2 linked regions of the Callithrix jacchus genome follow. The protein of the gene in region 2 binds, or shares a complex with, the protein of the main gene of each other region. Links are inferred from orthologs where the notes say so. Each region holds a gene or a part of one and is shown on either strand. Other genes may lie near its edges.

Evidence for each region. Proteins that work in one complex are often made in the same cells at the same time.
Region 1: ACTL6B (region 2) and DPF1 share a complex: the UniProt entries of both Homo sapiens proteins name them as parts of the neuron-specific chromatin remodeling complex. The link is inferred for Callithrix jacchus from reciprocal best matches to the Homo sapiens genes ACTL6B and DPF1.

Annotation. Positions count from the first base shown.
Region 1 is NC_133523.1:33,815,034-33,819,240, forward strand, and holds the start of DPF1 (zinc finger protein neuro-d4), read right to left. Parts: upstream 2,869-4,207; 5' UTR 2,764-2,868; coding exon 2,732-2,763; intron 1-2,731. UniProt on the Homo sapiens protein: May have an important role in developing neurons by participating in regulation of cell survival, possibly as a neurospecific transcription factor. Belongs to the neuron-specific chromatin remodeling complex (nBAF complex).
Region 2 is NC_133503.1:13,071,687-13,076,026, forward strand, and holds the start of ACTL6B (actin-like protein 6B), read left to right. Parts: upstream 1-1,395; 5' UTR 1,396-1,477; coding exon 1,478-1,502; intron 1,503-1,952; coding exon 1,953-2,029; intron 2,030-2,245; coding exon 2,246-2,411; intron 2,412-2,710; coding exon 2,711-2,811; intron 2,812-4,340. UniProt on the Homo sapiens protein: Involved in transcriptional activation and repression of select genes by chromatin remodeling (alteration of DNA-nucleosome topology).

The sequences.
Region 1 (4,207 bases), on a different chromosome or scaffold from region 2:
TCCTCTTTCTCTCTCTCTCTCTCACTCTCTCTCTCTCTTTTTTTTTTTTTTTTGGACAGAGTCTTACTTGATGGCCCAGGCTAGAGGGCTGTGGCACTAACAGCTCACTGAGGCATCCACCTCCTGGGCTCAAGTGGTCCTCCCGTCTCAAACCCCCAAGTAGCTGGGACTACAGGCAGGTGCCACCACACCCGGCTAATTTTTGTATTTTTGTAAAAACAGGCGTGAGCCACCGTCCCTGGCCCACCAGCAGCGTTTCTACCCATAGACCCAGGCTGACACTTGGAGCGGGCTCTCCTTTCTTTCCTTTCTGCCTAATCACCTGCACACACCCCTCCCACACTCCTGCACACTTCCTCCGAGTCCTCTCCCTGGCCCAAACAATCCTCCTGCTCCCATCCCCCAGTGCCCTGTGTGGAGCTGACCCACAGTAGAAATCAATTTCATAAATCAATATTGATACTACTCCTACTAATCACTACATTTGGTCAGGGTCAGAGCTCTGTGCTAAGCGCTTTACAAAGACGGCCTTATTTAAGCCCCGAGACAGCCGTATGGGGTGGTAAGGGCTGTTAGAAGACCCCATACTCCAGGTGCGTGGCTCACGCCTGTAATCCCAAAACTTTAGTAAGCTGAGGCGACAGATCATGAGGTCAAGAGATCAAGACCGTCCTGACCAACATGGTGAAACCCCGTCTCTACTAAATATACAAAAATTAGCTGGCGCCTGTAGTCCCAGCTACTGGGAAGGCTGAGGTAGGAGAATCGCTTGAATCCAGGAGGTGGAGGATGCGGTGAGCCAAGATCACACCACTGCACTCCAGTCTGGGCAACAAGAGTGAAACTCAGTCTCAAAAAAACAAACAAAAAAAAAGCCCCATACACAGATGGCAAAACTGAGGCTCGCGGCAGGGGACGTTCATGGCTCAAGCTGGTTTTAGAACTCAGGCAGTGGAACTTCCCAGGGCGGCACCCTCCAGCTCCTTCTCCCCAAGGGATGTGATTCACATTCTTTCAGGAGTCAGGGAGTTCCCCACCTTCACCCCAGCAGATACGTTTTGGAAGGGGAGGGCACAGGGGGCAGGGCCCTCTCAGTCCAGGCTTTCTCCCCAGGTCCCTGCTCTCCAATGCAGCACACCTCCTGGGGGGGGGGGGGGAGTGTCTGGGCCAGGGTCAGAGTGCGGGGTAGATCCACCAACCTGCACAGGAGCTCTCGCTCCCGGCACCCTGCTCACAACCATTGTGCAGTGTCCCTCACATGAGAGACAACTGTGTGTGCCACTCAGGGTGAGAGGGCAGCGGAGGGGTGTCAGCATCATGCACCACCTCTCACGGACCCGAGTCCCACACACTCGCTCCCGGCACCCTGCTAACGGCGGAGCCACACGTGTAGGCGCGTGCCTCTAAGTCCCTGCCCCCCTTCCTCTCCCAACTCCCACCCTCCACCTCCCACCCCCATTCCCGCCAGAAACCAGAAGCAACTGGCGGCCTCTGGTCCAGCCGGCAGGCGCAGCCCTTCTTGTGGGTGGGGTGGGGGGTGCGCTCCCTCTCTCCCTGTCCCCACTCGCCCCGCCCCCAGCCCTCGATGTTCAAGGTCAAGGCAGCCAGCGAGCGGGGTTGGGGGAAGGGTGGGGAGGTCGCCCCGGCCCCTTTGTGCGGCGCCGCCGCGGGCGCTCGCCCTCCGCCTCCTCCACCAGGCCCAGGAGGAGGGGGAGGGGAGCGCTGCGCTCGCCTGCGGGGAGGGAGGGCGGGAGCAGCCAAGCGCCTGTCACTGGGAGACCGCTGTCACCGCCTAGGAACTAGGGGTGGGGGTGGGGAGCTCTGGGACCCAGGAGTCCGGGATCCCGAAGAGGAAGCAAGCCCGAGATGGAGAGGGGGAAGGGGAGGGGTGGAGAGCGCGAGGGATGGCAGGGAGAGGGGAGGGTCAGGAGGGTCTAGGCTCGGACCCAGGCGTCCCGGTCCCCAGCCACCGGGCCCGGGAGGAATGCGAACGCTCGGAGGGCCGCGGCCAGGAAGAAAGGGAGGGAATCCCCGGAGACCGAGGGCGCTCCCGGCAGGCACCCCCTTCCCGGGCCGGTCCCGGAGGGGACCAGAGATGCTCCGGTTTGATGTGTATGGGCGGGGAGAGGAAGGGATGCCGCGGTCCATGCTGGCCGTGGGTTCGGGGTTCTAGTTCCCGGAGATCCCAGAAGGAAAAAAGGGAGGCAGCGGGGATGGAACCGTGGACCCCCGACGTCTCAGCTCCCACCCTGCGGCCGCGAGGTCCGGGGTCCCCAGAGAAAGAAGGGGAAAGAGAGAAAGGCGCTTTGATGAGGGGAGAGCGGGTGATGGAAACCCTGGGGACCGAGGTCCGGACTCAGGTGTTCGAGCTTCCAGCCCCGGCCGGGGCAGGCCCGGCACCTCCGGAGATCCTGAGGGAGAGATGGAGGAGAGGGAAACCCCTACCCCCACTCTGGGTGGGGAAACGGCCTCCGCCACCCCCAGCCCGCGCCACATTCCTTCACTGACAGCGACAAAGAAGAGGCGCCCCCGCGACCCTGAAGAGGCTCCCGCCTCCAACCCCAGGGGGCGACAGGGGGTGGCCGACCCCCGGGGCAACGGTTTGCGCTGGGGGCCCCCACTCAACTACGGGTCCGCGCGCTGCGTCCCCCTCCTCAGCCACAGGGCGGGCGGGGGAAGGGCTCCTGGTGGGGGGGTCTGGACAGGGGGCGGGGACGGCGGGGACACTCACGACTTGAGCGGGTTCTGAATGGCGGTAGCCATGGCCCGCTCGGCTGGGCCGCCTCCGGCCCGGGGCGCCGCTGCCGCCGCGCGCGGGCCCAGCCCGGCCTGCGCCGCCCGCTCTGCCGCCCAGCGCGCTACGATTTCATTCATTCTTGGGGCTGCGGCGCGAGCGGAGCGGGGCGGGCCGGGGGCGGGGCTCAGCCAATCCCCGCGCCTCCCAGCGCACGACGGGACGTGGAGTCTAGGGGCGCTCGGCGGCGCCCGAGGGCGCCCCTGCCCAGACTACACGTCCCAGGGGGCGTCAGGAGGACCGCGCTCCCATTGGCTGCTGGGGATACAGGGAGGGGCGGGGCTGCCCCCAGAGCATCTTTCCTCTCTCCCTGGGAGTGCTCCGTCCCCAGCTCGGGATCTCCACCCTCGAGGCACCGCGAGCGCGGGAGCAGGTGGTCCCTAGCTTCTGGATGTCCCCAGGGTATGTGGATGACCCTAGGGTTTTTATCGTGTATTTTTGTCTGGGCCTATTTGGGTTTCTCTTCTATATCAGCGAGCCTGTGAACAAGCACAGGGGTTAATCACGCCTTTGTTCGTTTACTGAGTGGCTGCTATGTTCCAGAAACTCTTCTAGGCACTAAGGATACAGCAATGACCAAAACAAAGTTGCTGCTCTCAAGGAGCTGACGTTCTAGTGGAGAAATACAGATAATAAGAAAATAAAGAGATAAAATCATTTCAGACAGTGAGAGATGCTATGAAAAGAAAATTGGGCCGGGCATGGTGGCCCATGCCTGTAATCCCATCACTTTGGGAGGCCGAGGCAGGTGGATCATCTGAACTCTGGAGCTCAAGACCAGTCTGGGCAACATGGCGAAACCTCATCTCTACCAAAAATACCAAAAATTAGGCGGGTGTGGTGGTGCATGCCTGTAGTCCCAGATACTCAGGAGGCTGAGGTGGGAGGGTCACTTGAGCCTGGGAGGCAGAGGTTGCAGTGAGCCAAGATTGTGCCACCGCACTTCAGTCTGGATGACAGAGTGAGACCTTGTCTCAAAAAAGAAGGGAGAGGGAGAGAGAGAGGAAAAAAAAACAAGAGAAGAGAAGAGGCAGGGCACAGTGGCTCACACCTGTAATCTCAGCACTTTGGGAGGCTAAGGCAGGAGGATTGCTTGAGCCCCAGAGCACGAGACCAGCCTGGGCAACATAATGAGACCCCATCTCTACAAAAAGTTTAAAAATTATCTAGGTGTGGTGATGCATGTCTGCAGTCTCAGCTACTCAGGAGACTGAGGCAAAAAGGTCATTTGAGCCTGAAAGTTGGAGGCAGTAGTGAGCTGTGATCACACCACTGTACTCCACCTAGACAACAGAGAGAGACTGTTTCTAAAAATAAAAAAGAAAGAAAGAAAAGAAAAAGAAAGAAGAAAAGAAAATAGATTCAGCAAAACACAGATTTTAGAAAGAAAAAAGAAGCAAGTAAAAAAAAGCA
Region 2 (4,340 bases):
CACATGCTCAACACACACAAGCATTCAGATGTGCATATGTACACACATGCACACACACGCCAACACATACAGACACACACACCCTCACAGAAGGTGTGTGTGTCAGCTACCCCAAGGTGTCAGAGCTGCTTCTTCGTCTTTGCTACCAAAACTGTGGTGCCAGGAGCCCAGAAGAACCTGGGGTCCAAGCAGTAGAAAATCTTTTGCTAGTCTGGCACTGTGGCTGACACCTGTAATCGCAATGACTCAGGAAGCCAAGGCGAGAGGCTCACTTGAGGCCAGGAGTTCGAGACCAAATTGGACAACATAGTGAGGGTCCGTGTCTTAAAAAAAAAAAAAAAAAAAGGCTGGGCACGGTGGCTCACTCCTGTAATCCCAGCACTTTGGGAGGCCAAGGTCGGCGAATCACGAGGTCAGGAGATCAAGACCATCCTGGCTAACACGGTGAAACCCCGTGTCTACTAAAAATACAAAAAATTAGCACGCGCCTGTAGTCCCAGCTACTTAGGAGGCCGAGACAGGAGAATCACGTGAACACCCAGGAGGCAGAGGTTGCAGTGAGCTGAGATCGCGCCACTGCACTCCAGCCTGGGCGACACAGCAGGAGTCCGTGTCAAAAAAAAAAAGGAAAAAACAGGGAGAGATGGAGACACACTCCTTCTGGTCTCTCTCTCAATCTTCCCTTCCCTCCCTCTCTCAGTGATTCCATTTAGGCCCGGGATTGGCAAAACCGGGCTCACAGCAGCCTGAAGATAGATGACCCTTCTGGGTACTGGAGTTCTCTCCGCAACCCTGCTTTAAAAGGTAAGGGAATAGAGAAGGGACGAGATGGCTCATGCCTATAATTCCAGCACTTTGAGAGGCTGAGGTAGGAGGATTGCTTGAGGCCAGGAGTTAGAGATCAACCTGGGCAACACAGCAAGACCCCATCTCTACAATATATATATATATATATATATATTTTTTTTTTTTTTTTAATTAGCCAGGTGTGCTGGCACCTGCCTGTAATCCCAGCTACTTGGGAGGCTGAAGAAGATCGTTTGAGCTCAGGAGTACGAGACCAGCCTGGGCGAAATAACAAGACCCCATCTCTACCAAAAGAATTAAAATAATAAAACTAAAAAGCAAGGGGGTAAGGACCTCATCAGTCGTCCTACAGAGTCTTGGTCTCCTCCTCTTTCCTGCTCTCTCCTCTCTGCCACGCGTTCCTTAGGAACGGTTAAGTCCCTGCTGGGAGCCCCCTGCCCCATCTCCTCCCGGCCGCCTAACCGGGGACGTCTTTCCCTTTAAAGCAGCGGCCCCCGTCCGGGTCATTGTCTCGCCTGGCAGCCAATCGGCGGCGCCGTTGGGGGCGGGGGATCCGGCTTCCCGATTGGCCGCCTCGCGCCCCGCCCCGCCCGGGATCCCGGGAGCTGTCCGGCCGCCTCGGTGCTGATCCCGCCGCCGCCCACGGGCCGCGAGCCGCGCAGAGGGCACTATGAGCGGCGGCGTCTACGGCGGAGGTGAGCGAGCCTTGGGCCCCGGGCTCCCGCAGCCTTGCGTTCCGAACCCGCGTCATCGATCCGAGCTCTGGGCACCCCGGGGCCTGTCACCTCCGTGCACGAATGGGTCCGGTCCCAGGCTTGGGTCTCCCGCCACTCCTACGCTCGGTCCTCCCTGCACGCCTCGCGCGCACCGGGCCCAACCTCTCTACCTTGCAACCCACCTCCAACTGGTCCCCGGCCCCTTCCTTTCCCGTCTGGAGGGCGACCTGAGCAAGTCCACTGGGCAAGCAGGGACCTGGCGGTGTGATGCCCCTGCCCCCAGTCCCAGGACCTCGGACTCCAGTCCCACCTGCCCCAGACTGGTGATGAAAGTAGTGAGACTGTGGCTCTGCCCTGACTTCCTCTCGGAGCTACCTAGCGGGAGAGAGTTCGGGGGAAGTCCCCTTACAGGCCTGTTTCCCCGCACAGATGAGGTGGGGGCGCTGGTCTTTGACATTGGCTCCTTCTCAGTCCGAGCTGGGTACGCTGGGGAGGACTGCCCCAAGGTGAGCCTTTCAGTCTCCTCCCCAAATTCTAGGGGCTCTGAACCCTTCTTCGGGCTTTCCAGTGACCCAGGGCTCTCCCAGATCGCCCAGAAGCTCTGCTGAGCGGGAATGCGGGAATAAACCCAGGGGCGGGCTGAGGACCCCGCTGTGGGGCTGGACAGGGGCAAGAAGGTGACCCCTCTCCCTGCCGATCCTCCCCCAACCCTTCCCCACCAGGCTGACTTCCCCACCACGGTGGGGCTGCTGGCCGCGGAGGAGGGGGGCGGGCTGGAGCTGGAGGGGGACAAAGAGAAGAAAGGGAAGATCTTTCACATCGACACCAATGCCCTGCACGTGCCTCGGGATGGAGCAGAGGTCATGTCGCCCCTGAAGAATGGCATGAGTAAGGGGCCCTCACCCATCACCTCCTGACACAGACAGGGAGCTCACTCTCCATGATCTGGGACATAGCAGCCCCAACTCCCCAAGGATTCTTCCTTGCAGTCCCAGGGTTCTTCTCACTGCCTCCCTGAGCTGCCTGGTTCCCATCCCAGGGGCCCATCAGGTTTCTGGGAAGGAGGGTGTTCCCCTGGAGCTGGACTCACTGACCCTCCTTTGGACTTGGCCTTCCTCCCTCCTTTTCCTCCTGTCCCTGACCCTTGCCTGCCCTCTTGCGTCTCTGTGCTGCTCTTCTGGCCCCAGTTGAGGATTGGGAGTGCTTCCGAGCCATCCTGGATCACACCTACAGCAAACATGTCAAGTCTGAGCCAAACCTGCACCCAGTGCTCATGTCCGAGGCTCCGGTGAGTGCCTACTCCATACCTCCACGTCCGGCCCTGATCTCCACCGAACCTCATTCCCACCATCCACCTCTCCTCTCCCCTCAAGCCACCACTCTCAGCCACTTGACCTCCCTTTTCCATCTTCACCACTTTCTTTCCTTCCTAGCTGTCTCCAGCCCTCCTGCTCTTTTCCTGCTCTATCTTACTCTGCTGCCCTTCTCCGTCTCCAAGTCCTTTTTAAATTTTTAATCTTTTGAGACAGAGTCTCACTCTGTTGCCCAGGCTGGAGTGCAATCACGAGATCTCAGCCTGTGTCTCCTGGGTTCAAGGAATTATCTTGCCTAAACCTGCCAAGTGGCTGGGATTACTGGCACCCGCCACCATGCCTAATTTTTGTATTTTTACAAAAAATTCGCCAGGTGTGATGGCGGGCGCCGGTAGACATTTTTTAAATGTTCTTACCTGCCTCCTTATATTTCCCCCTGTATAAAAGCAACTGTTTTTCTCCCTTTTGAGCTAATTTTTGGAGTATTTTCTTTCATATCTCTAATATCACACTTAAATTGCAGCCTGTGGAGTTTTTTGTTTTAGGTATTATCTATGAATTTTCCACTTTAGAAAATGGTCGCTTAGCTCTCTTTTCCTCCCCAGCCTATACCACACAGATTTCTCATCACCCACCTTTAAGTACAGTGGCTTCTGTTGTTGTGGTTGTTTGGGGTTGTGTTGTTTGTTTTTGAGACAGGCTCTTACTTTGTCACACAGGCTGGAGTGCAGCAGCACGATTCTGCAGCCTTTACCTCCTCAGCTCAAGTGACCCTCTCATTTCAGCCTCCGGAGAAGCTGGAACTACAGACATGAGCCACCACGCCCAGCTGATTTTTACATTTTTTGTAGAGGCAGGGTTTCACCATGTTGTCCAGGCTGGTCTGGAATTTCTGGGTCTTGAATTCAAGCAACCTGCCTGCCTCAGCCTCCCAAATTGCTGAGATTACAGGTGAGATCCACCGCATCCAGACCAGTTGTATTTTAGACTTTAAAAGAAATCAGGGCCAGGCGCGGTGGCTCAAGCCTGTAATCCCAGCACTTCGGGAGGCCGAGGCGGGTGGATCACGAGGTCAAGAGATCAAGACCATCCTGGTTAACATGGTGAAACCCCATCTCTTCTAAAAATACAAAAAAAAAAAATTAGCTGGGCATGGTGGCACATGCCTGTAATCCCAGCTACTCAGGAGGCTGAGGCAGGAGAATTGCCTGAACCCAGGAGGCAGAGGTTGCGGTGAGCCAAGATTGCACCATTGCACTCCAGCCTGGGTAACAAGAGCAAAACTCCATCTCAAAATAAAATAAAATAAAAATAAATAAAAGAAATCAGTATTCAGTATTTAGACTCTTTTTAAATTAGAGATAATTTTAAGAGAATAGTTTGTAAAGATGGGATCTCGTTATATTGCCCAGGCTGGCTTCAAACTCCTGTGCTTAAGCAATCCTTCTACCTCAATTTACAAATTGCTGGAAGTACAGGCATGAGTCACTGTGCCCAGCCCAAT